Linked DNA regions of Drosophila melanogaster. The protein of the gene in region 1 interacts with the protein of each later gene in a pairwise test. Each region holds a gene or a part of one and is shown on either strand. Other genes may lie near its edges. The genes, in order: CG7173, U4-U6-60K, roh and CG7655.

What was found.
Region 2: the proteins of CG7173 (region 1) and U4-U6-60K interact in a two-hybrid assay, tested with the Drosophila melanogaster proteins (one large-scale study listed by BioGRID).
Region 3: the proteins of CG7173 (region 1) and roh interact in a two-hybrid assay, tested with the Drosophila melanogaster proteins (one large-scale study listed by BioGRID).
Region 4: the proteins of CG7173 (region 1) and CG7655 interact in a two-hybrid assay, tested with the Drosophila melanogaster proteins (one large-scale study listed by BioGRID).

What each region holds. Positions count from the first base shown.
Region 1 is NT_037436.4:21,553,013-21,561,968, forward strand, and holds CG7173 (uncharacterized protein), read right to left. Parts: upstream 5,215-8,956; 5' UTR 4,749-5,214; coding exon 3,279-4,748; intron 2,930-3,278; coding exon 2,740-2,929; intron 2,674-2,739; coding exon 2,639-2,673; 3' UTR 2,361-2,638; downstream 1-2,360. Other genes in the region: Wnk kinase, read right to left, coding at 1-106; CapaR (capability receptor), read right to left, coding at 6,169-6,294, 6,783-6,884, 6,964-7,123, 7,178-7,322, 7,386-7,460, 7,517-7,690, 7,930-8,129, 8,189-8,279 and 2 more.
Region 2 is NT_037436.4:17,508,672-17,517,002, forward strand, and holds U4-U6-60K (U4-U6 small nuclear riboprotein factor 60K), read right to left. Parts: upstream 5,242-8,331; 5' UTR 5,111-5,241; coding exon 3,449-5,110; 3' UTR 3,184-3,448; downstream 1-3,183. Other genes in the region: Oatp74D (organic anion transporting polypeptide 74D), read left to right, coding at 1-633, 775-1,138, 1,473-1,657, 1,720-1,863, 1,928-2,104, 2,243-2,424; CG7564 (uncharacterized protein), read left to right, coding at 5,797-7,059.
Region 3 is NT_033778.4:23,382,719-23,390,111, reverse strand, and holds roh (reduction of Rh1), read left to right. Parts: upstream 1-3,648; 5' UTR 3,649-3,814; coding exon 3,815-3,995; intron 3,996-4,066; coding exon 4,067-4,134; 3' UTR 4,135-4,648; downstream 4,649-7,393. Other genes in the region: Mtmr6 (myotubularin related protein 6), read left to right, coding at 1-106, 171-393, 454-591; eIF2Bdelta (eukaryotic translation initiation factor 2B subunit delta), read right to left, coding at 1,140-1,823, 1,880-2,440, 2,500-3,105, 3,285-3,314; CG30414 (uncharacterized protein), read left to right, coding at 4,786-4,999, 5,065-5,107, 5,163-5,410, 5,466-5,878; CG13551 (uncharacterized protein), read left to right, coding at 7,015-7,064, 7,353-7,393.
Region 4 is NT_033777.3:17,679,485-17,686,823, reverse strand, and holds CG7655 (uncharacterized protein), read right to left. Parts: upstream 4,156-7,339; 5' UTR 4,036-4,155; coding exon 3,709-4,035; intron 3,650-3,708; coding exon 3,215-3,649; 3' UTR 3,051-3,214; downstream 1-3,050. Other genes in the region: CG31249 (uncharacterized protein), read left to right, coding at 1-313, 463-818; CG31360 (uncharacterized protein), read right to left, coding at 1,293-1,411, 1,474-1,651; CG31251 (uncharacterized protein), read left to right, coding at 1,979-2,079, 2,137-2,669, 2,729-3,015.

The DNA.
Region 1 (8,956 bases):
CCGCTTGCGACGTCCCCTTGACTGACTTGTCTTTTTTAGGTTTGCCCGAAGTAAGACCAGCTTTCTGGTTGCTTATGGCATCTGCAGGTTCTATTTTGCTATCCATTTCGTCCTCATTCTGTTCCCTGCTCTGGTTGTCCTGAGAGCAAAGCACCTCTACATCGGTTGATTGCTGTTTGCCTAAATCGCCGTTGTTGTTATCGTTGACTTTCGGTACGTCGTCCACGTTTTTCGGGCTTGACGCCGTTTTGCCGGGAAGGGTGTTATTTGAAAAGCGTCTTAGCACCCGCACAAATAGGTTACTTTTGCTGGCAGCTGGTGGTGTAGGCGTGGTGTTCAGCGTGGGTAGAGAAGAAGCTGGCTCGATAGGTGATGACTGGATTGAAGTGGTGCTGCTAGTGCTCGTGTGTGCAGAAAGTGTGCCCTGCTTGCAAGTGGGCTTTCTGTTTAGTGTGTCTTTTAGTTTTGATGTCGGGTTCGGCTTTTGCCTAGAGGAGGCAGATCTATTAAACGAACGGTGTCCCGACTTTTGTATATTAGCTCCCTGCACAGTTTGCTCCTCGCTAGAAATTGAGGTATTCCTAAAAGAATGATAGAAGTAGTTGATTAGATTCTATAGACTCACAGGTACAACAGTCGAGTTTTCCACAGTTCTCAGTAAACTTCCTTCCAAGAACATTTTATAAACATTCGATAAACGAAAAAACGGTTTCAGTTTACGTGTTGTTTATCTAGTAAGTTTTGCTTAAAACAGAGACGTTGAAGTAACAATTCCAGTTGAAGCATATTTAAAAATTAGTATCCTAGGGAAACAAATCCTTTGTAGGATACTTGGTCAGTTTAACACACTACATACAAGGATATTTTAAACCAGCTTTTACGTTATTTAGGCATATATGAAACAACGATTGTTACTTCAATCATTTTTTGTTATGTGCCCTGATTTAAATAAAAACAATATTTAAATAAATAGAGATATTCCCTAAATGTTTTGGCAATGACTCCAACTCACCTTTGAGGTTGCGTGGTGCAGGAGGTAGTACCATCTTCGCTGATGGCGCTTCCCTTCCGAGCACGGTTCGCAGGTACGACCTCTTGTTGTCGTACGAAGTCGCAGAGGGTTTGTCCAATTTTGCAAGATTTTTAGCAGCAGACCACCACGTTTAATCTGAAGCGAGAGGCAAGGCGGTGAATGAGTACATGAAGGCATGGAGGAATGGAGCAAAGGTTAAATTCCGGCACTATTGACAGGAGGAACTGGCTTGGACTGGGGCAGAGACATGGGCAGGGGCAGGAGCAGGGAAAGGTGACCATTCCCACACCCACTTATGTTCGTTGCTTGGTGCCGACGTCTGAAATATCGCTTACAGCTGGGTGGAGGAGGTAGTGGCGCCGTCTCCAGGAGGCCGAGGTGTGCGCTTTCCATGAATCACTAGTTTCGATTGCACTACGTTCGTCACTGGCTCTGCCGTTCCACTCTACTCTGTTCTGTTCTGTCGCGAGGGATATGTGCGTATGTGCGGTACGCTGGCTATACATACATATTTATGTACATTTGATTCGGGACAGGAAGCATATGCAGCGACTATGATGTCATGTTTCCACGCCGCTCCTTCCGGAAGTCCTTCGCTCGACGGGATCGTGCTCGAGTTGGGGATTTACGACCGGGACGGGGTCTAGGGCTCGCACTGCGACTGTCGGATCGTTCGCATCGAGGATTTCAATTTGTGATTGTGGTGTTCAAAGGCAATTCGAGCTAGCAAGCTTTCATATTACGGCACGGGGGATTGGTAAGTCTTTCGGGAGATAGTGTCACCTCCACAAGGGGGGTCAATTGGATTGAACGCGTGCGAGAGTCAGCGGAAAATTGAAGTTATTTCGCCAGAAGTTCCCTTTACTTTCACAAAAAATTTTACAAAGCAACTGGGTTTACTTGTGTTCGTGATCTATCGATAGCGCATATTGTTACACAAGTGTTATCGGCGGTGATGCCACCCAAGCTACCAGCTTGCCTAATATATATGTTACGCATTAGCAGAGATGTTACCTGGCCTCTGTTAACTTGAACAGTAGACCGTTACTCTTCGAACGAGTTATAACATTGTTAAGAATACTGTATAACCTTTAAGCATTAAGCCACTTTTTTAAATTTCATTTTGCCTGCCATAATGAAACAGATTACAAACAGATTACAGCTGTAAAAACCACACCTAACAAAGTCTTAATAAATTCCAAACCCTTATACAGGTTTCCCTTATTCAGCAAGAAGATGCTCCTGTCTCTTTTGTTTTGCCCCTAAGGCAAAAAGCCCAGATAGTCTCTTATTTTATATATATAAATATGATTTTCGATAATGTTTTCTTGCAATTCGTTAATTTATTTATTATAACTAACTTCTCTGAATGATTTTTGAGATACATACAAATATATTGTAGAACTTAAATATACATGCACTAATAGTTTATAAGTTATCACTTTAATGAATAGGAAAGCTATAAGTGCACGATATTTTTATACGTGAACAACAAATCAAAATCACTTTTTACAAAACCCTACATTTTACCATTTCCACTAAATTTGCATATTTTGTAATCGCTAGAATAAATTAAATTAAAACAGTTTTTTATTTTATTTTAGTTTAAGAGCAAGATCCTTTACTCTTAATCGTCACACCTGGAATAGAACATGTTGGTTTAAAATATATACAGACAATACATATATTGGGTATGAAACTCTTACTTATATTGAGGCATGACGAATAGCACTGCAGTTGGGTTTCGCCCGTGTACATGTATCCGTCGGATCCACAGATTATTTCATCGTTTTCATCGTACACATTAGCACATATCTTCTCGCAGTAGTTTTCCGTGTCCTTTGGATCGTCAGGAGTAGCTGAACTCGTCACAGTGGGCACCTTTGGAATATCTTGCTGAAATGGGCAAATTTAAAATTAAAAATGTAAGAGCTAAATTCACAGCAAAAAGAATTTGATCTTATTAGGAAAAACTGTTACTGGTATTTGATGAGTCGTATAATTTTTGTAGCTTGAGTTGATAGAATCAACTATTTTTTTAAGTTTATTTTTTCAAAGAAGAGTACTATTTTAAACCCGTAAACGATTTGATCGAAATTAAGTACTCACTAAATCGCGTAAAAATCATTATAAAATGCCTTAAAGGTTGGAAGTGCTTGTTTTTGTGGCCACTTTTTGGCCAACAAATATGCTAGCTTATATAAGCTACTTGCGGTTTTCACATTTATTGAGAAACAGAACCAACCTGCTTTCCACTTTCAGTGTCGGAACTATCCTCTGGGTCATCGGTGTATTCCTTAATGGGCTTGCTGAGTTCAATCTTCGGGGCAGGAGATTTCGCGGGCTCGCGGGGAGCTTGGGCCACGGTTTCGTAGTAGTACTGATTGGCTTGCGGGGCTTGGGTGTACTTCATCGATCCCCTTATGGCATCTTGCTCGGTGAACTCGAATCGCAGAGGCTCCGGGGTAAAGCTCTTGTGGGTCTTGGCGAGGTGCTGGCTCTTCGACGGCGATTGAGTGGTGGTCTGGACCGCCATGGGAGTAGAGACCACATGCTTAACGGCTTTGTTGCCGTCGGACTTGACAACGAAGACATCCTGACCTGCCTGGTAACTGCCGCGAACCACTGCGGAATTCGCAGGAGCGGGATCTTGCTGGTAGAACAAGTCGGACACTTGTATGGGCTCATTGTAACTGGAGGAGACTGAGTTGTCTAGGCCAGCAGTTTTGTAGGGAACATGTTGCTGCAGCGCTTGTTGCTGCTGCGGCTGCTGGTGCTGCGGTTGCTGATGCTGCTGCTGTTGTTGCTGATACAGTTGCTGCTGCTGCTGCTGTCTGTATTGCTGTGGATATTGGTGGAGCAGCTTCTGCTGGTCCCGCTCGGCGTCCAGTTTCTTGAAGTCAGGATCCCTCTTGGGCAGGAAGTACTCGTTGGTGCTCATGAATTGCAGGTAGTCCTGCGCCTCCCTGGACTCCTTTGGTGGTGGCACTGCCTGGCGAAAGTTTACCGCCTGCTTCGCAGGTATATCGGTATCCTCGTAGACAGAGTAGCTATTTGGATCCTGGGGAAACTGGCTGTTTTGGAGAGCAGTTTGCTGGGTAGGGACAACACTGAAACTGGGAGATCCCTGCTGTCCGAAGAGCTTGGGATAGTGCAGGTACTGGGAGGCCTGGACGGGAATCGCATGCTGTTGGATGGGTGCGTACACTGGCTTGGTGTCCTTCATGATCACATTGCCATTGAAGCGCGGCGAGGACTTGAAGTTCTGAATGTACTGCTCGGAGACATACTGGAGTGGGAACTGGTTTTTGCCCACATCTAGCACCGGAGTGTCCTTTACGTGGGCGAATCTGCCCTGCTGACTCTGGTCGAACTGGTACCTCCTGAGCTGGTCGTTCGCAGGAAAGTTCCCGAACTGCTCGCGACGCATGATGTGCTGCGCAGTGGCAGGTTGCGGCGACCGCAAGAACTTGTTGGAGCCACCAGAAAGCATGGCCAGGTTATCCGATCGCGATCTTATCCGGGGCAGTTGTCCGGGACCCGGCGGCCGATTGTGCTTGATATGGTGCTGGGCCAGGGGCTGGTTCTCACTCAGAAACTGCCTTATGCGCGCTTGTCTCATATCATTCTCACCGCACTGCACTTGGTTGATTAGGACCACTATCAGAACTAGGGCCTCCAAAATGGGGGCCAACTTAAGCGGACTCTGAGTCATTTTTAAAGCTCGTCTTCGTTCCACGACGGTCTATTGGTATTTGACATTTGTCAGTTCCGCGGCCAAAAGCAAAAAAGTTTCTTTCGAATTAACCACGCACACATGCGAAGCTTCTTTTCCATTCGACGATCCACGATCGCGCAGACTTGATCTCACTTTCTTTGTTATCCGGCCAGTCGTTTAAATAAAAATGGAACGCCTCGCGGCACTGCAGCCAAATACAATGTGGTGGCCTCGTCTCTGGGCCCAGATGCAGCTATCTATGTATATCTATTTAAAACCGACTTGGTTCGCCATATCAGCTTAAGATGGGCACTTTTTCTAGAGCCTGTGGTTCCAACGCCGCAGCACCGTTAATCAATGGAGGGTCTCGAGCATCCACATCCATCCGATTACTTTCTTCTTGAATTTCGGCGGTGCCGTCGGTTGGAAAGCAACTGAGTGGCAAATGGAACGTTTCTGAACTAGCTGTGCTGGAATTCGGAGTGTCGGAATGGCCACTAAACCAGTTTTGAGATGCTGCCTCTGCTGCCATAGAGGAGCTGCTGTGGATGTGGATGTGGATGTCGATGTCGATGTCGATGTTTTTGGATTTGGATGTGCATGTGGTGTCCACCGAGAGATCCCCGAGAGATCATATCGCGACACGAAGATGGAGCACTCGAGCCTCGGGGCACCGTGACATCGCTCCAGATGCGACAGAACCATTGGCCAGGTATGCTCATTAATCTGGCTATCTTGAGTGCTGGTGAAAGTAAATCGGAGATAAGATCTTTTGGAGACCTATGCGTAATTGGTTCGGAGTTCCTCAAACATCAGAGATTAATTTGCTTATACAGAATGCCAGATGGCTGGATGTCTGAGACTTGTGAATGCAGGGTTATTTACCTCATGTAAAAGTGAAAATGTTTTTAATTATAGATACTGGGATAATGGGTACAACTTTCGCTTTTGTCGTCAATTTGGCACTGCTTTTTCGAGAGAACAAGCCATGAAAACGATAATTTGGATCATTGTTATGCAAATCGCTCGAAACTGTAATCGTTCGTTAATGTATTCATTCATAAAAGCCCTGTTATTCCATAAAGTTTCAAATATCTCAGATTCTTTTGTGGCCAGTAAGTTTGTGAAAATGGAACTGATTACCTTTTTATGTATAAATAAATATTTATAAGGACCTAACACAATTAAAAAAAAACAACTCGGTAGCAATAAAACTCAGTTGGTTTATTTAGTAATATTATGAGATGTTGTAGAAATAAATAAATCTCCTTTGTGCGGGGGCACATTTGAATTTAGACAGACTCCCAGTCATATCACTAAATTCCCAATACGCAATTCTTAGCTCTTAAATTAGTTCTACAAAAGGTTGTTCTCGACGTCCTTGGCTTAAACTACAAATGTTGAAATGGCCTCGTGCTTAAATACAAGTCTCCTCGTTCTCGATCCAAATATCGTTCTCAACTTTGGGCTCCTCGCAAACTGTGTGGCTGTTTTCCAGCACGATGACAATGTCCGTGGTGCTCAGGACCGTGGAGTCCGCATTCTGGAAGTGCAAGGTCCAAAGTTAATATACACACGTGGAATACAAGCAGGTGAAAAGTAATGTAGTATTTATTCGCCCTGTATTTTACTATTTCACAAACTCAAACAATCACATACGAGCACTTTAATTCGCTCAACAGGCAATGTAAGGAAAAGTTATGTTCCCATGGGTATTTGTGTAAACAAAGCGAAATCAAGTTAAGCGGGGATGGAGCCGGAATACTAAGCAACTTCAGCATTGGGAATTACAAGGATACACAAATTGACGCAGAGTGAAATAACTTTTTAATTTGATTTATTCGCCCAGGTATCTTTGAGTTCCGAGAGTCCGGCGACACAGAAAAGTTTGGAAATAACTCTGGGATTTCCAGTTCAAAAGAATCTGCGCATCTGTAATAACTAAATTTATGCTAATTTACTACTATATCATACTCTAGGACACTATGCTATACTTCAATGAGTATTTATGATTTTGGTCTGTTTAATTACTTTTGGTAGCGGGAGGCTGTAGGTTTTCTTTATCAGCACCCTATTTGCAGATGAGGAGTCCGTTTCGAACTTATTTGGATGCTGGCTGGCTCTGACGTGAACCTATGGGGTAATTTGAGATAGAATAACCAAATTAGGTTAGGTTGGATTAAAATGTGCTTTCAATAACTTAATAACTTACAGAATGAACGCGGTCGTAGGCGGAGCTTTCCCGGAAACTGGAGTGATCCCTCGCAAATCCGCTGTTGTAATAGGCGCCCACGGCTTTTCCGCAGAGGAGTTCCCTGAACGCAACCCTGTAGCGACGTGACATCACACTGTACACTATTGGATTTACGGTGCTGTCAAGCCAGTTGAATCAGATAAATAAGTTAATAGAATTTGGGTTCATTTACCATGAAACGTAGTACGCAAATCCCGCAATCGAGAAGAGTGCCTCGTTTATGTCCAAATAGTTATCCATGTTCTTGGCATACAGGAATATGAGTCTTTGCAGGTGGAACGGGAACCAGCACACGAAAAACGTAATCACCACAGCAGCTATACTGATTAAACGGGGACTTTATTGATGGATTCTGTTGGGATTGATTGGGAAAAGCTCACCCAACATGCGAATAACCGTCTTCTTTCTCATTTGGGAGTTTCTCGTTTCCCTGTTGTTGGTGCCTTGTTGAACACCTGGAATACATCCCTGAAGTCGGATCTTTTGGGGTCAATAAAAGCCAGGTACTTGCCCAATTTTTGGTTCGTTCGAGATCGAATCTTGGCTCCCATTCGTCCGTAGAGCAAAATGATGAGTATCATCGGAATGACAAAGAAAATGCAAAAGGATACTTCGAACACGGGAATTTCGTTAACAATCTTGGGCGACATGGAACAGAATGCCGACTCCTCAATGCGGGAATGATCTGAAAAGCGCAACGAATGCCATTTATACCTGTTCATGTTATTTGGATATTATTCAAAGAATATACTTCAACCATTCATGGCTGTTGGATGGTGAAGTTCAGGTCGCTCGCAAAATTAAAGTCCATTTCAATTGATTTATAAGGTTTCAGCAATTTACTTCATTTGAGCAACTACTGACTCGAGCACCAAGCACCATTTTTGTACTGCTAGGGAACTTATGATGTAAATAGTTTCATACCTAATGGGTAGTTGAGGTATTGAATATCCGAGAGCAGTCCAAATGGAATGGCGCTTATAAAACTAACAATCCAAAGAGCTGTTATTATCCGAATCGCGCGCTTGAAGCCAACCATAGCATACAGGTGCAATGGATGGCAAATGGCCAGGAATCTCTCCATGGAAAATGCGACGATGGTAAAGACGGAGACATAGGTGCATCTGAAACACAGCTGGGTTTATAAATGGCTAAACGTGTAGTCAAAAGTAGTTATACTAACGCCTCTGAAATAAATGCGCGTATTTTGCAGAATGGCATGCCGAAGAGATCCGGATACTGATGCCAGTACAGAAACACTTCCGTTGGTAATCCTAGTTTTGTTTAAAACAGCATATTCAGTTAACTATATTTTCCTATTTTATTTAGTTAACCTACCAAATAGTAGGTACAGCAGATCTGAAACAGCTAGGCTGAACAGATAGTAATTGGTCGCCGTGTGCATTGCCGAGTGGCGAATAATCACAATGCACACTAAGAGATTACCAACGACCCCGGTTATAAATATGCCACCAAAAATAATTGTTATCTGGAAAAGGTTTAAGCAAACAGAATGATCGCTTTATCAATTTAAAACCTTAGATTAAAGCAAGCAAATTGCAGAGCCGATTCACCAATATCCATGTGTATTTAGCCTAGGTATGTACAAGTATAAATGGCTGTATAAAAGTTTTAATTTAATATCTTGGATGAGGAATGATATTTGTTGACTATTGAGTATGACTCACAACAGGCAATAAGAAAAGTTATTTGATTTTAAGCTTTGATTACAAGTAAAACTGGTAAAAATTAATCCACTTCCAGAAGACTTACCAAAACTGCCTTGTAAAGTGGTAAGGTCTGTGGTCCAAGCACAAAGGCCACAAACTCTTTTGGAGAGCAGTTAAAGGTGCCGCAGGCATAGTCCTCCTCTCCAAATCCATGGGATGGATCCGAACTAACACTAGTGGCGAATAGGGTATCTGGGGTATTTGTGAAACTTGCGTTTAAC
Region 2 (8,331 bases), 4.0 Mb from region 1:
TGCCGCATTTCATCTTCGGCGAGCAGCTGATGCACTCCAGTGTAATTCTGCAGCAGACGCAGGTCTCCCCCCCCAATAATTCCTTCTCATCACACTGGCTGAATGCCAGCAGTGAACAGGTTAATCCCAATTTGTGCATTTTGGGTGGCAACCAAACCCATTCGGGCAGCGAGTGCAACGAGGAGCGCCAGCTGGAACAGGCCTCCCACTCTAAGATCACCGTCATCGTGCTGTGCATCTTCTTTGGCAGCCTGCTCAGCTCGGGCATTGGCCAGACCGCCGTGGCCACACTGGGCATACCCTACATCGATGACAATGTAGGCAGCAAGCAGTCGCCCATGTACATGGCCGTCACCATTGGCATGAGGATCCTGGGACCGGCATCCGGTTTCATTTTTGGCAGCTTCTGCACTCGCTGGTATGTCAACTTCTCGAATCCCGGCTTCGACGCCACGGATCCGCGCTGGATTGGCGCCTGGTGGCTGGGGCCTGTGGCCATTGGCAGCCTCATGCTGCTGGCCTCCATCGCCATGTTCTCGTTTCCCAAGCAGTTGAGAGGCAAGCAGAAGCCGCCGGGGCAGACAGCAACTCCAGCAGCTCCAGTTGAGCCGGAGGAGAAGCCCAAGCTAAAAGGTGAGAATGTCAAAGATAGCTTGGTCTTTAGTATTTGATGATAAAGATTTTAGATTATAATCATGCCTCTGTCATCAACAGATCAGCCAATCAATGCACCTTACTCCATCTGGAACTAAATCTTAAAATTTACCCATACAGATTTTCCCAAGACAGTCCGTCGCCAGCTGAGCAACGACATCCTGATGTTCCGCACCGCCTCGTGCGTGTTCCACCTGCTGCCCATCGCCGGTCTCTATACGTTCCTGCCCAAGTATCTGGAGACGCAGTTCCGGCTGGCCACCTATGATGCCAACATGATCGCCGCCTTCTGTGGCATCCTGGTCATGGGCATAGGTATTGTCATTTCCGGGCTCTTCATCCTGAAGCGAAAGCCCACTGCCAGGGGCGTGGCCGCCTGGATCGCCTTTACAGCCCTCGTCTACTCGGCGGGCATGATCATCCTGATGTTCATCGGCTGCAGCATGAACGACTTTGCCGGCTACAAGCCAAGCGATGGCAACAGGTGGGTCATCGAAGAAGTTCTTGCTTAATTACATATTAGTTATAATTATATAATATAAGTAAACTATAAAGATAGCATTTGAAAAGGTAGAGATCCAACCAACATGAACCAATACCACTGCCCTCATAAGTATGCAAACTTTTTCCGCAACAATAGTATCCTTTTAATTTTTGGATACATGTAGAATTAATATATTGCACTAAGTGGGACTGCGGGAAAGTGGGGCTATAAGCTAGCTATCAAATCCAAAATGTAATTCGTGTTAAGTCGACTTTTTACACTTGATATACGGAGTAACTCTAGTAACATGTAACTTATTTTAATCCATCGCTAGTCCCGCCTTGATCGAGCCCACGTGCAGTGCCGCTCTCAACTGTACCTGTGATAAGGAGAACTTCGCGCCCATCTGCGCCGACGGCAAAATGTACATCTCGGCCTGCCACGCCGGATGCAGCAGCTCCTCACTGCGGCCCAGCGACAATCGCACACTCTACTCCGATTGTGCTTGCATTCCAGATGGTGAGATGCACCCATTGCCATAGCCCTAAGATTCAGTATCTTAATCCCTTTGCACCTTTCAGCTCCGGAGGCGGTCAACGGTTACTGTGATAATAACTGCAAGAACTTCATCTACTTTATACTGATCTTTGCCATTTGCGTATTTATGCATTCCACCTCCGAGGTGGGCAGCATGCTGCTCGTCATGCGCTGCACACACCCCAAAGGTAATAACCAGGATTGGCAAACAGATGTTACACTAACGATAACAAAACCCTTAATTCCCCGCAGATAAGGCCATGGCCATGGGTGTGATACAGTCGGCCATCGGCCTGTTCGGCAACGTTCCCTGTCCCATCATCTACGGCGCAGTGGTGGACTCCGCCTGCCTCATCTGGAAGTCGGTGTGCGGCAAGCACGGCGCCTGTTCACTCTACGATGCGGACACTTTCCGGCAATATTTCCTAGGTGAGTCAGAATCTATAGGAAAATATAAAAAAAATATCTAAATTACTAATCTCTGAGTGATTATGTACCTTACTATGCAAGATAATAGTCCCTTAATTTATAAACAGAAATACTTAGTAAGCTATCTGTAATTCCCAGGAATCACGGCTGGCATTATGTTCCTGGCATTCCTGATGGATCTGGTGGTGTGGCGCAAGGCGCATCGCATTGACATCGCGCCCGAGGATCCGCAGGAGGGCGGGCCCGCTTCCAACGGAAGGACCTTGGAGGTGTCCGAGTCCAAGCAGCCCATCACCCCGGCGCCGGACACGACGGTCTAGGAGGAGCGGGTCGGCGACGAGCCTTGCACAAGCTGCAGGATTTCCAATAAACGTTTACCTTAATTGTTAATTAGTTATCATTTGTCTAGTTTGTTAGCCTAGTGCAAGAGTTATGTATTTAGTTAAGTGGCATCTTCGAGCGTCGGGAGACCTCATTCAAATCCACATTAGAACGCGCTCGTCCAGCTCCCGCTCCCGATCCTGCTCCAAATCCCAGCACCATATTCTACATGAAGCCCATGGATTGCGATTTGAATCCTTGTAAATCTCAACGCGAAACAATGAAATGAAATTCTAGACATTATCTAACGTCATGCATGAGCGTAGTTAATCGACGAGCTAATACTACAAACTGATCGACAATTGTGCAAAGTGCAAGAAAATTTATGAATCCTTATGTGTAAACTATATGTAACAGTTATATCGCGATGTATGTAATCTATAATTAATATATTAGACATACACTTACATGTATGTATGTAATTGCAACCTATCTGTGGTAGTTAAATTTTAGTTAAAATTCAAATTAATTGTCTAAGTTTGTCATACAACAAATATATACGAAAAGAAATTAAATGGAAAACTATATACAAGTAATAAAAACAGATGTTTAAATATGAGGATGGGCTGCTCAAGGATAATTAAAAAATGAAGAGGAAAAGTTGCTAGTTATCCTTACTTATAAATTAGAAACAAGTTGTAGGCTGATTAGTTGTTGGGCCAGTAAATCCTTTCCCAATTTTAAACCCGTTTAAAATTCAATTCTCTACCAAAAATGTATTTTTTATTAACAATTTCAATAAAAAAGTCTTAAATTTACGAAATGCAACATCGCTGCATCTGCCTTTCGCCTAACAAAAACAACAAATTGTGTTATACAAAACGAAAACTTGAAATGTTTTGGGCTATTGTCTCTGAAATAACAAAAACAGTTGATGAGTAAGTCGTGCCCAGCGGGCAGATCGCAAGTGGAGATTGTCTGCGTACGCCCACAGGTGAGTACAATAAAGTAATGGTATCAAAATCAGCTATCCGGCGACCACAGCTTAAATGTGCGGTCAAATGAGGTCGTGGCTATATACTGCGAGTTGGGCGCGATGTCCACCGATATGACCTTGTTGTCGTGGCCCTGCAGCGTCTTCAACGGCTGCCACGTCTTGTTGGACCAGATCTTGGTGGTCGAGTCGTAGGAGCAGGTGACCAGGAAGCTGCCGCACTCCTGCTGGTACTTCACGTCCGAAATCAGATTGGTGTGCGCAGGAATGGTATAGACCGGCTGGCGTCGCCTCAGGTCCCAGATTTTACATGTGTTGTCCTGGGACCCTGTTGCTATGTGGAATCCGTTTGGAGAAAAGTCCACGCCGAAAACGGCGCCCAAGTGTCCCTCCAGAAACATGATGCACCGCCCAGTGCGCAGATCCCACACTCGTCCAAAGGCATCCAGACCGCCGGTGACCAGGACACTGCCGTCGGAATGATAGCTAAGGCAGTGAACCGGCTTTGCGTGCCCTTCCTGGTGAAGCACCTCTGTCTTTTGCTCCAGATCCCACAGCCGCCAGCTAGAGTCGTAGCAGGCGGTGGCCAAGAAGCGGCCGGAAGGATGGAAGGCTACCTTAGAGACGCGATGCGGCATGTGGCCGGTGATGTCGGCAATCGACTCTTCGTTGTTGAAGCCCCACAGCTTGACGGCGCCATCGTGGCCACCGGAAGCCATGGCCACCACGTTCTCCTCGTCTGCCTTAACTCCCGGCCGCAGAGCCACTCCGCCCACATAGCTGGCATGTCCACGCAGCGTCTGCTTCAGCTCGCAATCGGGCACGCTCCACAGCTTGCAGAGACCCGACCATGAGGAGGTCAGAAGGAGTGAGGAGTCTTCACTGAAGGCAGCACTACTCACGGGCCGTGTGTCACCCACCTGGGAGCACAGTGGAGCCAGCGACTGGAGCTTCTTCTGCATCTCCACCATTCGGCCGGCACGTGCTGCGCTGGGCACTTCAAGGGCCTCACGTGCTCGTACCAAGCGATCCTTGGCGCGCGGCAGGGAATAATCCGCCAGCCAGAGTCGAGCGATACGCAAACTATCGGGTCCCTCGTGGTACCAGGTGGCCTGATCCTGCTCCCGCTGTTGCTGCTTGCGCTCCTCATCCTCATACTGCCTCTTGTTGATGGCGTTCTCGCCCAATCCAGCCAAGAGTTCCTTAAGACGTCTTCTTCGCTCCGCCGGTCCTTCTCCAAAATAGCAAATGGGTTCGTTTAGCTGGCGCAGATTGCTCTTGATCTCCGTGTCGTCTGTGGACACATTTATCTGTCGTGCTCGCTTTTTCCGCTCAAATTCCTCAAGGAGCGCCACCTTGTCGCGCTCCATTTCCATCTCTAGATCGAAGTAGTCATCGTCAATTTTGTTGGCCAGAGTAGCGGCTGTGGGTGGTGGTGCTCCGGCCTGCTTGGCGTTGCTTGTCTTTTTCGTGGACTCCTCGTAATCCTCATCGGAATCGATGTCTTCCAGTTGCCCGCCTGTTCCAGTTGTTGTTGTTCCTGCCCCAGACGATGCCGTCGTTCCCGATGTTGTTGTTGCTGCTGCCCCAGACGCCGCGGCATTTTGCCGCTTGCGTTCCGATTCCTCGAGCGATCCATAGTGCAGCGTTCGCTGCCGCTTAATGTACTGTATATCGTCGTCATCGGACATCGTTGCGGCCAGCAAACAAGTGCAAAATAATTAATTTTAAAATAAAATTTCGCCGAAACAACGAAGAAACAACAAAAAATATTGCCGTAAAGAAAACGTTTTGCTGCCTAGTGTTGAGCAACGCCGAGAGGGGTGGTTTAGTGATGCCATCACCGATGTTTAGAGCGGTATGCAGCGAATAAGCAATAGTTTTTAGATCGATATTGTTTGTTGTTTATTGTTAAATGAACGGTTTTTGAAACTCTAAATTATATTTAAAACAATAACTATTTAAAACTGAAACTTTATTCCACGTGTTTAATAAAATTTTATATTAAGATCGCGATATACCGTTATTAGAGAGAACTACATTTGTTCTTGGAAATTAAATGATGTGCCTTTGTTTTTTATTTAATCATTTAATCAACAATAATCTATATACTTGGATCTGAACAAAAGCCGTTACTCCCAGAAACCGTGACTTTTCACCGATATATCGCCTACTCGTGCTTCACAGCACTGTTTTTCAGCACTACCCCATTTTAGAACATCCTCACGCACGCACGCACAGAATTTTCTTAGGTGATTAAAAGTGAGTGAAAATTGAGAATTTCCACACGCGTCGCACGCTATTGGTCACAAAGCCAGTGAGATAGCTGTCACTGCCACCGCTGCAGCATTTTTCACGCGCTCCTGGCCAGAAGGATATGAGCGCGCCGAGCAACAAAATGTCGGCCACCGATCAGATGCGAGCAATGCTGGACCAGCTTATGGGTACCACACGGAATGGCGACGAGCGCCAACTGAAATTCTCGGACCCCAGGGTCTGCAAGTCCTTTCTGCTCGACTGCTGTCCGCACGACATCCTGGCGTCCACGCGCATGGATCTCGGTGAGTGTCCCAAAGTGCATGACCTGGCTTTCCGCGCAGATTACGAAAGTGCCGCCAAGACGCGCGACTACTACTACGACATTGAGGCCATGGAACACCTGCAGGCCTTTATTGCCGACTGCGATCGACGCACCGACTCCGCCAAGCAAAGGTTGAAAGAGACCCAGGAAGAGCTGACCGCCGAGGTGGCTGAGAAGGCCAATGCTGTCCATGGCCTCGCCGAGGAGATTGGCAAGAAGTTGGCCAAGGCCGAGGCCCTGGGCGAGGCCGGCGAAGTGGAGGACAGCATGGAGCTGATGAAGGAGATCGAGGAGCTGCGTGCTAAGAAGATCAAGGCCGAGCACGAGTACCGCACATCTATGCCCGCATCCACCTACCAGCAGCAAAAGTTGCGCGTCTGCGAGGTATGCTCCGCCTACCTCGGGATTCACGACAATGACATACGTCTGGCGGACCACTTTGGTGGTAAGTTACATCTCGGATTCCTCACTATCAGAGAAAAGCTGATCGAACTGGAGAAGACGGCGGCGCCGCGGAAGGCGGAGCTCAAGCGGACGGGTAAGATGACGGACCGCGAGGACGAGGGACGCGGACGCAATCGCTACTTTGTAGGTGGTCGTGAACTGGACCGCCGCTCTCGCGTACATCGTTCCCGCTCCAGAGAACGACAGCGCAACCGGGATGGGGACCGCGAACGCCCCAACAACGGACGCGGTCCTGAGGAGAAGGGGAGTGAGCGACCCAAGGAAGCGGCAGATGGTCCGGAGCGAGCCGAAAGGGCACCAGATCGTGGAGGACGGCGAGATGACAGGGACAACCACGGCAGGGATCATCGCGAACGGGAACGCGATGGCAGGCGGGATCGGGACCGACATGGACGCAACGACAGAGGACGCTTTGGTGACAGAGGCGGCGGTGGAGGAGGCGGTGGCCATCACCGTGACGACAGACGCCGCTCAAGGTCCAGGGAACGCTCGCCACGCGAACGGCGGAACTTTAACCACTTCAGGGATGGTGGTGGCGGCGGAAATGGCCAGCGCAAACGATCCTACTCCCGTGAGCGCAACTACCGCCGCTAGGCTAGAATCCCGCCCAGCGCACGTACGTAGCATTAATCACATGAACTATAATGCCACCACAAATTGAACTACTGAAAACAACAGGAACCGAATATTCTTAGCGTAACCAATAAAGCAACCTAGAGCCACACTTTCGACGCTCCAATATGAAGATACAACTACCTTTGTACATTTTTAATAATTTAATTGATTTCTATTTTTGATCTTGCGTTCCAACCTCTAATGACAAATTTTTGTTACTACCCCAAAGTAAACCGAACGCAGTCCAAGACCCCAGCCTCAATAAAAACTTTAAGAGAAACGATATACTCGATATAATGCGATTGAAATTATATAGTCCCCGTCCAGTCCAGTGTACTTGGCACGTAGAGACAGAAACCCAAACAGAAAATAGAAATCCCAACGAATCGGCAGTGTTGTCAATTAAAGTTCAGTTCATTGTAATTCGGTTAGGACACAGCGGCAGTCAAGTTAAAGATAACTAATTTATAAGGATTCAGAGCAGGAGAAACGTTTAATATATGATATTTTGTGTGTTGTATAGCTAGCTACAAGTTGGTAACATTGACTGAAACCCAACCAAACCTGACCACATTCGACCATGTACTCTTCTCAGCTAACGATCACGTTCACCCAGTCGAAGTCAACGTGTGTTGTGCATCGCTGTCGTCCCGCTTTGGGGTAAGCCTCCACCATATTTAACTCTGACACACTCCATCACTGCTCTGATTTGATTTCATTTGATATGATATGATTTGATTTGATTTGTAACCCCAAAGCGTTCTCTACTTGAAGTTCCGTTCCACACTTTCGCAGCCGCTTAAACTCTCGCACAGCTTCGGTACGTATTGAGTATGGCGAGGTGACTATATACATTATACCAGACCAATGTTAGTTGTTTTGGCAGATATGCGTATTACATAGATAATCCAGATAATATAGCTTGGGTACGTATCCATACCGGCCGACGACGTTTCCTTTTGAATCGTCGAATGAGAGTGTCGTTTATTTATTCGGTTCTGGGTACGTATTAATGTTAGAAGATCACGACTGTGGTACGTATACATATAACGACTATAATGGTGCCCCATAAGCAAGCCAGGCTCTCTAGGGTTCTCGGCGATCCAGATCCCAACGTACGTATTTCTCCTCCTCCTTTCTCTCTCTCTTGAAAATAAATAATAAAAAATACAATCACCACAAACCAAAATAAATTTTAATCTCGTAGCTGTTTAGAGGCAATTGAATTAAAATCCGTTTCTTACTAAATCT
Region 3 (7,393 bases), on another chromosome or scaffold:
GCTTCAAGAACTACATTTCCAAGTCGGCCAAGAAACTGCAAGACGCCACCAGCGCCCCTGGCAAAGTGAACAAGGAGCTCTCCAGCAACGAGATCAATGACAACAAGTGCGTATGATAGATATTAGTTATTATGCTATAGTATGCTTTATAATCCATCCGCTTATTGCAGATACAACTACGATAAGAAGCTTAGCGAACTGTCTGCCGCCGACGACGATCATCCGCTGAAGGCCAGCAACATGTCCTTCGCCAGTCTGTCGCTGAGCGCGGAACAATCCAGTCCGCCGCAGGCGCTGCCCGAGGAGATCAACTCCGTGGCCGTAGACTGGAAGCCCATGCGCAACGTAACCACCTGCTCCTGCTCCACGCCCTTCGATCAGTTCAGCAAAAAGGTGGGTAACTCCGCGTACTTAAGCAAGCCTGCCACTGATGATGATCCAATCCTCGAATAGACTCACTGCTGGCGCTGCGGGGACATCTTCTGCGAGCGCTGCATAGACAAGAACGTGGCTCTGCCAGGACACGACAGTGGAAAGCCGGTGCCGGTGTGCCGGGGCTGCTTCCGGCAAATGCAAAAGCAAAGCCCGTAGAGGCAAGGCAGGCAGGATCGAGGAATGGAGCGGAGCTAGGGTGTGCAATCGATATGGAAACGCTATTAAATTTATTGTGTGTATTTATTGTTGCATTTGTAGACTTAGCTGCTTGTAGAAGCTCATTCAAGTTGTTGCAAATGGAAATCAAAAGAGCAAAACCAAATCAATCCACCAGCGATTGGCTTCCAGGCATCGTCCTAGTCTATAAGCCGGGCACAAAACTGTATTTTGTTATTAGAATCTAGAGCTACATATTTGCTAATCCCAGCCCCACCCGCACGGAAAGTACAATTGCATGTCAGAGCGCAGACTTGCTCTTGATCAAAATATTTATAATTTCCGAGGAACTCGGCGGTCTGCCGGATGTACAGACACTTGGGCCTAGCCCTCCTTCGCAGCAGCGGTCCCTGGCATCAAGCATATTCCACTAGCATACCCGTAAATTATGAACTACGCATCAATCTTGTTTGTCGATTTGATCAAAGTGTAATAAAACTTATTTATTCAACAACTGCGAGTTCTACTGAGCGATCGATGAAGTCTGATTAGTAGCCAATGTCTGGCTTGATGCGGAGTATGACGGGAACACTGGTGCAGGGCAGGATGGCCACCTCGGTGACCACGGCACTCACCAGCTCCGGCGGAGTAATGTCGTAGCTCAGGTTGAGCGGCAACAGCTTTCCCTTGGCCGCCCAGTTGCTTAGCTGGCACTTGTCGCCGCGCACCAGTTGGTTGGGATCGCTCAGCTCGTTGTAGACGATGGCGTCCGTCTGGAAGCGCTCGCTGAACTTGTGCGTCTCGCAGCACACGAGCACCGGCACGTTGTGGGCATTGGCCACCAGGGCCACCTGGGCGGTGCCCGTTCGCGCCATCACGTATCCGTTGGCCAGCAGGGCGTGTGCTCCCAGCAGCACCTTCGTGGCCTCCGCCATCACATAGCCCACGGCGTTGATCAGCACGTAGGTGCACGGGATTCCGGTGGCGTGCAGTCGGCGCAGCAGCTCCTGGCCTTCGCATCCGGGTCGCGAATCGACGACAATCACGCGGAAGGCCACCTGGCGCCGCTTGGCCTCCTCGCAGATGAACTGAATGAGGGAGGAACAGGCGAAGGTCAGCAGCACGTCGCCATCGGTGATCTTTTCCTGCAGAAAACCGCTGATCGCTTGGGCCGCCTTGCCGATTTGATTTTCAATGTAAGTATCGATGAAGTGGACGAGCAGCTCCTTCGACTGTTGAGCAAATGCATGTTACCAATTGAGTTAAAAAAATATATTTTGATTCTTACCTCCGTTTCGGGAACATCCGCCGGCAGCTGTGTCAGTTGGTTCTTGAATTGTTTGTACGCATTGGACACGGACACGGCCAGCGGTCGGCACTTGTGCAGGTGGTCTACGTGGTGCTTCACGGCGGCGTCCAGGCTGCGACCAAACTCCTTCTTGGCGGGCGTCTCAAAGTCGTGGACAACCTGGCGCAGGGCGTGCAGGAAGGCAATGCATCGAGCATTGGACCCCACCACCGTGCGCTTGGCGTACTGAACACCCAAGCGCGCAATGCTCGGATGAACGAGTGGATCGTTGATGAACTGGCTGTCTTCCTTGGCGCACACCAGATGGTTGAACAGCTTCACCCGGCAGTCTACATTGGGCGTGCTGGCTGGACATTTGACGGGGGAACTGCTGGTGGCCGCTGTGGTGGGGGAAACGCTCTTCCGGTTCGGCCCTTTGGGAGCTGCGCTGGGTGGTGCCTTGGCTGCATGCTGGGCCTTTTTAGTCTGTACCTGGGCCTTGGCTGCCCGTTGGGCTTCTTGGATAGCGCGACGCTCCGCTTTGCTAAGAGCTGGCTTTTTCTGTGCAAGGTGAGGTGAGATGTATATGAAGCAAGGAAATCATAAATGTAGCAAGTTACCTTTTCCTGGTCCGCTTCTGTTGTCGAAGGTGCAGCACTGGCTGCGACTGGAGCTTTTTCTGCTACTTTCAGGTCAGCGAGCTGTTGTGCGATGCCCTCTACCTTGGCTCCCCCGCCTTTGCCAGCTTTCTTGGCTGCCTTCTTGGCCTCGCGTTCCGCCTTGATCTGCTCGCGTGTCTTTTCACCCGCCTCCGCATCCTTGCCATTTACCGCAGCTGGCTGAGTCGTCTTTGAAGCCACTGCATCCTGCACCTTTGTTGTGGTGGTGGTCGTCAGCTTAGTGGTAATGGTGGTCTGCTCCACTTCAGTGATGATTTTGGTGGCCGGAGCAGAGGGAGTGGTCAGAACAGCAGGAGTGGCGGCAGTAGGAGTCGGTGCAGTTTTCTGTTTCTTGGCCTGCTTAGCCAGCTTCTTCGCCTCCCGCTCGGCCATTATCTGGTCACGAGTCTTCTCCGTGGCCAATGGATCCACAGCATTTCCGGGCATTGCACTCGTGGCGTCGATGGCTGATGTTTCTTGTGTCGTTGAATGGCTGTCTTCCAGGCGATTTCGTTTGTTGCGCGGTCGATTGCGTTGCCTTTGCTTCTTGTGCTTGCTCTTCAAAGTCTGGGCGTCAGTCCCAGTCCAGATAGGGAGTACGGAATTAGTTATTGATGTAACAATATGTAAAACTATCAAACTGTTTGGATCAAATACGAAATCAAATCGGCCGACATGCTAAATCAAAACTAAATTTGGGAAACTCGCTACTTGGCAAATTAGTTACTAAGAGGCAAGCTAGCTACCTGTGGCACCTGTTCGCTAGTTAAAACCATTTTGAAAGCTTGAAAAGAGAGAGACATGGCAATTAAGGTGAAAAAGGATGTGAAAAGGTTAAAAAAGGTTCAGACTCCTGTGGCGGTGCAATTAAGATCCAAGCTGAATCCTGCGTCTATGGGTAAGCACGAATGCTGGCTTATAGCACCTAAGCAGTGTGCTTGCTGTCTTTACCTTACGATTCTATATTATTATTCGGGAAAAGTAACTCGAAAGTTTTGCTCACGATGGCAAAAAAACGTCCACCAGTTGATAGCGATGTAAGTGAATCGATAACCGTCTTGATTCGCCGCGGTAAACACATGGCCGGCCTTGCCAGACTCGCTAGCAGCCAGTGTCATTTTTGGTGCTTTCCTCGCCGCACGAGTTGGCATTCCCATAGCTGTCTTTTATTTGTGAGGTTCGTATGTTCGTCTGCCGCCTCCGAAAATTACATAATTTTTGCGTAAATTGATTTCGTTTAATTCGACCCTCCACAGCTGCGAATTCCACGACTACCATGGCCGACAAAGCTGCTGCCGAGAAACCCGCTGGACGCCCCATGCGCTACCCATACACTTTCTCCGCGAAGATAGCCCAATTCCCCATCAAGCACTACATCAAGAACCAATGGATCTGGCGCTACTACTTCATTGCGGCCGTGGCCTGCGTGCCCGTGTTCTACAAGATCAGCAAGCTGGGTGCGTAACACTCGCCTCGCGACCTCTGGGCCCCTTGTACTAATGCACTTCTCCCTCCTGCCCATTTTCAGCCAACTCGCCCGAGAACAAGAAGGCATGGGCCGAATCGCAGGCCAAGGAGCACGCCGAGCACCACTAGGCGGCCAGTAACTTAGTCTTAATTGTCGCATCAACATTTCAGAGCTGTTTGTGTCGGACCCAACGTGAAATCGGCGAATAAATGATTTGAAACGAGGTTAAACTTGATTCTTATTGGAGAGTGCACTGCAACATCCAAATACGGTCTTATTATGCGGCTATGACACCACCTATGAGTTGAGTTCGGTCACACTAATGATTTGTTATATGAAACACAAATTAAGTTGCTTGTTACTATTAAAATTCATAACTAGCAGCATTTAATTGGATTTATTAAAGAATAGATTAAATTATATTCCACAACTGATCGCGATGAATATTCGTTTACCCAGATAACTGCATTTCGAAGGGTTAATCGAGAAGCTAAGCAGGAAAAATATTCAAGTTCAAATTTGTATAAGTAGTTGGCGCAAGACAAAGCATCACAGGGGTCTAATTTTTGGTAGTGAGTTGGAATTTCCCCAGATTCGTAAATAAAATAAAAATAAAAAAGTACTGAGAGCACTCATTAAAACAAAACACTGATTCCTATCATATCCGTTTCCGTTGACGGTCATAAAGAGTGTACTGTTATCAGCTGGTCAACATAAAATTCCTCAAAAATTACCTCAAACTCGACTAAGCTTGCCAGTCGCTCCATTACCGCGAAAAGATGAAGTTCATCGCAGCTGGATTAGCTCTTCTGGTCTGCTCCATCCAGTTGGGTGAAGGAGCACCTGGTCACCTGCTAGACTCCAGTTGTGGCACGACAAAACCAGAATTTATCCCAATGATCACCGGGGGCGCAGACGCAGGCCTATTCTCAAATCCATGGATGGTGAAGGTGCTAGGCGAGAAACTATGTGGTGGCTCGCTAATCACCAGTCGTAAGTATTCAAATGTGGCCCACGAATGAGTTCTTTGTCCAGTCACCTGCTGCTAATACTTTCAGGCTTCGTTCTCACGGCCGCCCATTGCATCGTTAGTACACACATGTAAGTGAGGCAGCACTGTCTTTCGGCGAACACTTACGAATTCCCATTTCCACAGGAGAGTACGCTTGGGCGAGTATAAAACCCGCTTTCCTGGCAAGGATTGCTCGCGCTGCGTGCCCAAGTCATATAAACTCAGGAGAATACGCTTGGGCGAGTATGACACCCGCTTTCCTGGCAAGGATTGCTGCGTGCCCAAGTCATATGAACTCGCTGTGGATAGAAAGATTTTGCATGCGGATTATAACCTAAACTTGGACAACGACATCGGCCTGTTGCGCATGAAGAGCTTCGTCCAGTACTCAGGTAATGAGGTGGATCCAGCAGCCAGGGCTCCCTAAGCAGTGGACATATCTTTCAGACTACGTCCGGCCGATCTGTCTCCTGGTCGAGGGACACATGGCGGAAAGTCCCATCTTCAACATCACCGGCTGGGGTGTCACCAACGATGGCACGCCCAGCCGGAGGCTCCAGAGGGCCACTGTGTACAACACCGACCTCCACTTCTGCCGAAGCAAGTTCACCAAGCAGGTGGATGAGTCGCAGATTTGTGCTGCTGGCACAAATAGCGATGCATGCCACGGCGACTCGGGAGGCCCGCTGAGCGCACAGGTTCCTTTTGCCGGCAGCTGGCTGACCTTCCAGTACGGACTGGTCAGCTACGGGTCGGCGGCATGCCATTCCTTCTCCGTTTACACCAACGTTACGCACCACAGGGACTGGATTGTGAACGCCATCGAAGACTTCAGCAGAGCTTTCCAGCTTAGACTCTAGCTACTCATAATAACATTTCGTTGGCTTTTCTAAGAAAATATTATCAATCCAAAATATTATCTCGAGTGGTTTAATGGCTCCCCTGACTTCTGTCGTAGACGCCATTCGGGTCAATAATATCTGCATTAGTATTTATGTACATAAGCGAAGCTTATCTTCAGCAAATTTTAACGCTATACGCAGCGAAGCCTCGCTTTGACTGATTCCCCAGAATTCTGGGGAAAAACCGAACCCTTGGAGAAGGTTCACTTCTACACCCTCACTGGCTGGGGTCACACCGCAGACTATAAGCCCAGCCGCATTCTCCAGGAGACCACTTTGCTTGCGCTCGAACAATCGTGTTGCAACAGCAACTTCAACATCGAAGTCGACCAGTCCCAAATCTGCACCACTGGCGTGGACAGCGATGCCTGCGGTGGGGATTCCGGGGGCCCGCTGAGCGCGAAGCTGCTCTTCGGGTTAAAGAAGCGGGCTTTCCTGCTCGGACTCGTCAGCTACGGGGATGCATCCTGTAGGATCTTCGAAGTGGCCACGAATGTGACGCACTACGTCGACTGGATTAAGGCAACAATCGACGAGAACTCAAGTTAAAGCGTTAAAGCGTCAAGTTAGAGTCCAAGTCGATTGAGAATTTAAATTTGTTGCTAGTAAGAAATCTGCAATTGAAATATTAGTTTACCATGATTAAGTAAACAACAGAAGAAGCTTAGTTTTATTTGCAGTATGCAAAGGGTATAAAGCGTTATCGATTAAAATCGCAAGCTCACATATTCGATAGACCACGCCGACTGTGCTCGCTCTGCCGCGAAGGTATTATTTAAGGGTGCGCCTACGGTCACTCTGCAGAAAACTTTTGTCGTCGCAAAAATGTAAGTAATGTTCAAGCGCGCCGCACTTTTCCGGCATTAAATCTAGTATGTGCATTGGGTATTCGTGTATATATTTTATACAAACAACAAACAAAGAACTGGCTAAAAATAGCGGCTCTTTTATTGCGACTTGGTTTTCGAAAAAGTTCAATGCACTCCGTTTTGTTAAGGAGACGGCTTTACAGTTACTCTTCGTAATGGAGTTTTCTCAATAAATTGTATTTTCTGCGCTTCTCTTGCAGCTAAACTACTCAAGAATCAAACAGAATGTTCGTTGTACGTCGTAGCGCATCTCGTCTGTACCCCGCTGGAGTCCAGTGAGTTTCTACCCACATTTAACCCCCGTTCATAACTACCTGCTAATTGGCTTACAAGACTTAACAGAGCACTCATATCTCATTCGCCATATTCAAAGTGTTATGTATGCCCCCAACTTACACTTTCCTCAATGTTCGATAAGATAAACAATTCCGATCCCATCGAAATCGCTTTCACCCTGCGCGCATGTGTGTGTGTGCAGTCTATGCTGACTTCACTCCACTGTTGCGTAACCGCACAAAACCAGAAGATTCTAATGGTTCCCACCGCCATTTTCCGCTCCACAGGCTGGCCAAGATGAGCGGCAGCCAGGTGGGCGACCTAGGCA
Region 4 (7,339 bases), on another chromosome or scaffold:
GCCAACACAGTCCTCTGGTTGGAGGACCAGAAGATCCGGCTTTACTCCATAGAGGATCGCTGTAAGCTGCGCACTGTCGACAACCCTGAGATCTGGAAGGAGGGTTACTTAAAGTACTGTGCCGATTTGAGCATGCCGCCCCTGGAGACGCGGCAGGAGCAGCTGGCCTGGATTGTCAGCTATGCTGTGCGCCTGGACTTCCTCGATGATCCTGATCAGTTTGCCTCGATTAACACCAAACAGGTGCCACCCCAAAGCAATGGCAAGCAGTCCCAACAAAGGGTCCAGGCTATTTTCGATGGAAATATTAATAGTATGGTCTGATTTTAACTAAATTTACCATTTAAGGAACTTTAAATTTATATATTATGGATTTTTTAAGAGGTTCCAAAAACCACTTTTATTATCTATAGATGATAATCAGGTAAAGTACAACAAGTATTAATTCTTTCTTCCCACCAGCTCAGGAAAAAGCGTTCGTGGATGGAGTCCGGCTGCTGGCCAGCAAACTGAATGTGCCGCACCACCCGAACCATCTGTTGCAGCTGGAGGCTATCGCTCGCGTGGTGCACGAACGCCTCTCGCCCGCCGCCAAGGATCGCAAGCCGGTAGTGGGTAAACCCTTCCCTTTTGACAAGGGAAACGACGTCGTCTCGTCCAACGACTCTGCCCTGGACCTGCCCATGCGCATACTACGTCTTCTCCAGATCCAGAGCCTACGCGAGCTGCAGACACACATCAATGAGACCATTGTGGCGGTGCAGAACATCACGGCCAATCCAAAGACTGATACCAAGCTGGGGAAAGTGGGATTCTAGACGATTAACAGTAAAGGAACGCAATCGACACAATATAACATAAAAGGACATAAAGAACATAAAAGTTTTAAAATTGCATCTATAAAATATCCTTTAAAGCCAAGCAACAACATTTAGCAGAAATCAATAGATAGATCAACAGCCAAGCTATGAACAAGCAAACACCTTTTTTGAAAGCTATAAAATAAGAATCCTGTTGATATTTTATAATATTATTATTAATACAAACATATGTTTATTTATGATCCTCTTTCAAAAGATGCAATATTGTGTATGCCTATGTAATTAATTTATTTAAAATAAATCATAAATTCATTAAAGCAAACAAGGTTTTGTTTTCAACGATTTTAAATAGAAAAAATTCTAAAAACAAGGTTACAGCTATATTATTGTAATGCCACATGGTCGTACAAAAGAAAACATTAACCTTTATATATTAAGTGACTCTACGATTATAATTAAAACGTCATTGAATTAACGTCTAGAAAAGAACTGATGATCAGTGCTAGTATTTTCCTGTTCTTTTGGCTTCTCGGCGGTTGCCTTCAGGAAATTCGCGTCTGCCAGGCGGGCCACGCCCAGAACTCCAACGGCTATGGCGACGAAGGAGAAAGGAGTAAACATAAGACCGGATTTAAGATCCCAAGTGGCTCACCTGCAGCCAAGCCTTTCATAGTGAAATTCTCCAGAGGTTTCGCTTGTCTTTTTTTCGACTGTGCCAATAGGAAGGCACCAATTCCCAGGAGTCCAAGGCCACTGACCAGACGGCAGGCCAAGCAGTCCACCTCGTTGGAAACGTTGTCCTTGTTCCAAAAAGAAAGTCTACCGATCATTTTTAAAATTATTTCAATAATAACAATTTGGGAATGGATTTGGAAAATAAGGCGACAACTATCGATATACCAAGTTTGTCGCAGGGCTGCCAACTTGATTGTGTTAACTAAACTAGGTTTTTTGTTAATTCGATCAACAAATGCTTTATTGACCTTATTTTCTAATAGAACTAGATTCCTATTAATATTATATATGTTGACCACACTCTAAAATCTTTAATATGTATCTATCTTTTTAATAGCTATCGCCGATTTAAATGCATTGTTATCGATAGACGTGAACATTAGATGTTAAGTTAAAAGCGGCCGGTTACTATTCTTACAAAAATGGACTTTCAGCGAAACGATGCTATGCTCATGGAAATTCTGCAGGATCGGAAAACTATTACAGGTTTCCTGGACTCCATTTTCGGATTTCTGCGACGCAAGTAAAAGATTTTATCTCAAGATCCTTAACAAAACTGTAGTCCCACTTCCCTTTTTAGCACCGACTTTTATCACACAAAACGCGATGAAGCGGATAAAATAGGCTTCCCCAAAGGCGTGAGGGATCAGATTCTATATGGCGCCATGCAGCGCTACGATCCGGATTGCTTGCTACAATCCCTGACCGCGGAAGGCGGTGCAGATGATGGAGAAACGGCTCCGCCTGCCGTCGAAGAAGTGGTCCTGGAAAGCGAAGATGGTCCTCAGGACGAGGAAATGAAACCCATAGAGAGCCAGCCGCCACAAAAAGGGAAGGAGCAGTCAAAGTTCTCCCCCAGCGACTACAAAAACGGAGATGTGTTCGAAACGCACTGCTGGTCACAAACCCTCAAGGATGTGGAGGTGCAGGCTCTGCTTCCCAAGGATCATCAAACGGCGAAGAAGCTGCACATTTCAATTCAGGCCCAGCACATCAAAGTGAGCAGCAAGCATAGCCCAGAGACGATCATCCTCGAGGGAAACCTGAGCCAGCGGATTAAACACAAGGAGGCGGTGTGGACAATTGATCAGAACCGATTGATCATAAGTTACGGTGGGCATTCACCTAAAACATCTTTATAAACCATTTTCATAAACTGTATATAACTGTAGATAAAGCAAAGGAGCTCTGGTGGGATCGGCTCTTCGAAGGTGATCCAGAAATCGATTCCAAGAAGATTGAATGCGAACGCTATATAGATGATTTGCCGGAGGAAACCCAGGCCACCATAGAAAAGCTTAGGGTCCAGCAGTTGGCAGCAGACAAGCAACAAAATGAAATTCAGACCTCAAGTCCCGACCAAGCTATAAACCTGGATCGCCTGAAAGCTGCCTGGGATGCCGAAGGTTCGCCGTTTAAAGGACAGCCCTTTGATCCTTCTATCGTAAGAATGAGTTAAATTTTAAAATAATTAATTAAGCTAGCAATAGTAGTAAAATAGTAAAAACTGAACCATATATATTTTTATATATCTTTTAGTTTTTTCATTATTTGTTTCGTTCTGATTCGGAAACTGAAATTGTTAGAAAAGTATTATTCAATACAAACTCATGTCAACTTACAACTAGATCTTAGTAAGAACACTTTTGAGATTAAGTTTACTTGGCCTTCAGTTCGAGTTTCTTGCGCTGCAGTTGAATCTTCTGATAGGCCACATCCTTCTGATCTGTGGACCAGGCCAGGTACATGTAGGTGGTCAGCAGCAAGGCCATGACTAGCCGATCCACGCTCATCACATTCGTGGCGAACAGGATGACCGACAGGCCCACAAACGAGGGATGTCTGACATGGGCGTACAGATTGCGCAATTCCCCGGATTTGTAGCTGATGGGCGGTCCGTAGGCCTTCAGATCGTAGTAGGCTTGCTTGACGCCCAGCAGCTCTGGCAGATCCATCACCAAACTGCCGCCAAAGATGACAACCCAGCAGATGCCATGGGTGATCACGAAGGTCCACCAAAGCGGAGCACTCTGCTCCACATCGATTTGCCACAGAACAATCGACTGAGCGGGCAGCCAGTTGACGATCAAATACTGAAATGTCCAAAGTTGCAGTTGGGAGCTATTTCTGTCCAATTTGTGGGTATACAAACATGTAAACAAAGCGATGACGTCAGGCTATAAATAGTGCGCTCCGCACCCGACAATCCCAACTTGGCCAACAGCTTCTTGACCACGGCTGACTTGAGGAAGCTGTGCTGGAAGATGAATCCGATCAGGTAGAGGGTATCGAACACCACGGGTCCATAGGCGGTCTGCAGGCGCGACTTGTTGTCCAGTAAATTGAAAATCCAGGTGTGCGCCTTGGAAATCGAACGAGGCGTCGAAAGGAACATCATCAGGCTGCCAACCACGTACAGGGAGTAAGCGAACGTGGCCAGGGATGCCAATAGTACTATGGACTTGGCAATCGATGTCATTTTTGTCAGGAAAATTGAGAAAATAGCTTGTTATTTCGAGATAATCAAAACAAATTCAATGAACGTTTCGGTGAGCTAATCAGTGCGACCATGGCACAGTCGCGATAAAATCTTCGGTGAAGAATTTCAATTTGGTTTGTGTCCACGATAAAAACATCGCTCTCCCCACGTAGCGTGTCTCGGCTACAAAAACATAGCGCATTTATCCGGCGGCTTGAGTCATCGCTAGTTGTCCAAATTTAGGACTATTATGTGACTGGCGCGATTTTTGGAGTATGTCGCCACGGTCACTCTGTTTGCAAATGTTTCAATTTTCCCACTAACGAAAAAGTGTAAGTCCGCAGCCGAAAGGCATAAGAAAGTTGAGAAAAAGTTTAACAGTTGCAAGTAAGAACTGGTTTGATAAAGCGTATCTAAATCCAAGCAAAGTGATGAAAAAACTGTCGACGCGACAACCCAACACACACACACACTCAAACAGGCGCAGCGCTCCGGCACACATACACAAGTGGCTTGCAAATGGCGGATGCGTTTCCAACAAAAAGAAAAGAAGAAGGAAAAGAAAGACTGCATTGTAAATGTGAAATGTTGTGAAAATTGTTGACGTTGCAAGTGGCTTAAAATCGGCTGAAAATCAGCGTTAGAAGTATAGAGACTGGAGATAAGAAGGGGAGAGCGGTGTACATGTATGTGTGTAAGTGCAGTGCGACGCCCTTTTGTCTTGAGAGGAAAAAGGAAGCCACTACTTTATTTATCGGTGTGCAATTATTCAAGGTGCCAATTAGTAGTCGACACACTTTCACTGCTCCCCATTGCTTAATTATGAGCAAAGGGGACAGCTGACTGCTTTGATTTGCCAAAAATCTCGGGCGCCGCCGTCTGGCCGGGGCCCTGCCCCCGCCCTTTCCCATTTGTTGTTCGCTGATTTTATCAAAGAAAAAGACAAGAAATGAGCATAATTGATGCGCTGACCTCACCACACACACACACATAAGCATATGCGGGCTTATCAAAGGAGCGAGAGCGGAGCAGAGCTCAAAAGAGAGAGCGGAGCAGAGCAGCTGCAGTCCAATAAATCATAGACTCAAAAATCGTTCGTCATCGGGGAAAACCAATTGACAATCAACAAATGCTATCGACGTCTACGTCAGCAATCAATAATCATTAACCGCCAGCTTTAGACAATATCAATTTGCCTATTTATAGCCTTTATGAGTCACTCCACATTTTAGACCAACCTTCCATCTGTGGACCAAAAGAAAAAATTAGGGAAACGAACTTGGAACCTGACGCTCCCACGCAGGAATAACAAGAAGACACCACACACCGCAAAAAACATGCCACGCTTTCTTTCCCACAGAGATAAATAAAGCAGCATTGCATGTTGCATAAATATTACGGGAGAAAAAGACGAAAAGTAGGGAGCAGTGCTTTCTAAAATTAAAACTCTTGAGCCGCTGAAAATAGCAGGGGCAAAAAATGCATTTATGAATAAATAGATGAAAAATAATGAATGAGTGCGAGTACGCTCTCGCTCAGCGGTGACAGAGAGAGCGAGGAAAGCACTTGCACCGTTATCAGTGATGCTGCTGCGAAAGCAAGCTAGTAAAAGTATAATTTCAAATTATTTTTTTATGAAAGAACAAAAATAATATAAAATGGAGAACCCGGTTAAATTTTAGATAGATTGGAAGTTTTCAGTTTTAAGAAGTTATTAGGATATGTAAGTTGATTATGAAAAACAATTTTTTTTTAGAAACAAATCTAGACATTTATAATTCGCATAAGGACTTTAATAATTATACACAGTTACGAGGATCAATAACTTTTTTATTTCCATTTGAAGAGATGTAATCGCATTGGCGAATACTTGACCCACTTCAAACACGCTGCCTTCAAAGGCCAGAAAATGGTCAACTTGGCATTTCTGGCCGGGGCTCACCAACAGGGGAGAAATTCCATGTGCCAGCAAGTGCGAGTGTGTGTGTGAGCAGGCAGCTAATTGAACACTGGGGCGCCGCAAAAGAAAGGGGGAGGGAGGGAAGCAACGGCACAGAAAGATAGAAAGAAAAACGGGAAAATTAGGCCAACTGTGCAGTTCGATGTCAGTTTGCCAGTTTGTCAGTTGGCTGTAACGAGGCCGAGCAGCCAGCGTGTTTTGCATGCTGTTCGACCATAATACATAATTATTTATAGATGGTCATAATGATAATTGGCAGCAAGATTTCGACTTTCACACACTCGTTTATACAAAAACTCACACAAAAACACTGGCCAGTCACACTCACGCACACATGGGCGCTTTTCTTCCGGTTGATGACCTTTACCGGCGTTTTTATTGTGCTTTTTATTCTCTTTTGGCTTTGGCTCTCTTCTGCCGCCACCGCTTCTGCTGCTTCTTCCTCCCCCGCCTCTATACTCACGGAATCGGAATCCGCAGCCCGGACTTTACTTACTTTCCGTTAAACGCCATCGATTTGTTTGACGGAAACCCGTTTCCATTGTGCCATTAAATATTAATTTAACTTTGTGGTCAGTCCACCCATCCGTAATAATGAATGTCGGTTTCATAGGACTAGATAATAGACAATTGGAGTTGTAAAAACTTTCATAAATTGTAGTGAAGATGCTATGAACCATCTAAATTGTCACAATGGTCGCAATACAACAGTTGGAAACACTAAAAATGGTTACATTTGTTAATAAATGAAATCAAGAGTTAGTTATATGTAGATAGAGTAAACCTGGAAAGATTTGCTGTATACGGATTATTCATCTACCCAGTATCACGTAACCCAGTATTTTTGAAAGCCCCTTAGAAATGTTTGTTGATTGTGGATAAGAAGAAACAGAAACACAGTCAGTATCTTTTAGCCAGAAACATGACGCGAGCCAGCAAAGCAGCAGAAATAAGAAGCCAGAACTTGACAAGCCAACAGAGGAAAATAAATACCCGACCTGCCAGTTATCGCAGCCGCAGAGAGCAACAACCTTGAATTGAAATTTTTGCAATTTGTGAATTCTTCCACTGAGCTCGCGGAGTCAGCGAAATTTCAAGTTTTGTTCTAACTGTGGTGGGAGCGAAGAGAGAAAAGTGCCACGGAGCGCAAGCACACTGAGAATAAAACGTTCTGTTAGTAATGTTAGTATTTTTTATTTCAAAAATGTACAAACTACAAATATATATTATTTTAAAGTTTCAAAGATAACTGGGCGGAGTAAATATATAAACGTATTTTATTTTGATGATACAAGTAATGTTATCGCATATTTTAAACTCAAGACTTATTGCAAATTTGTTTGC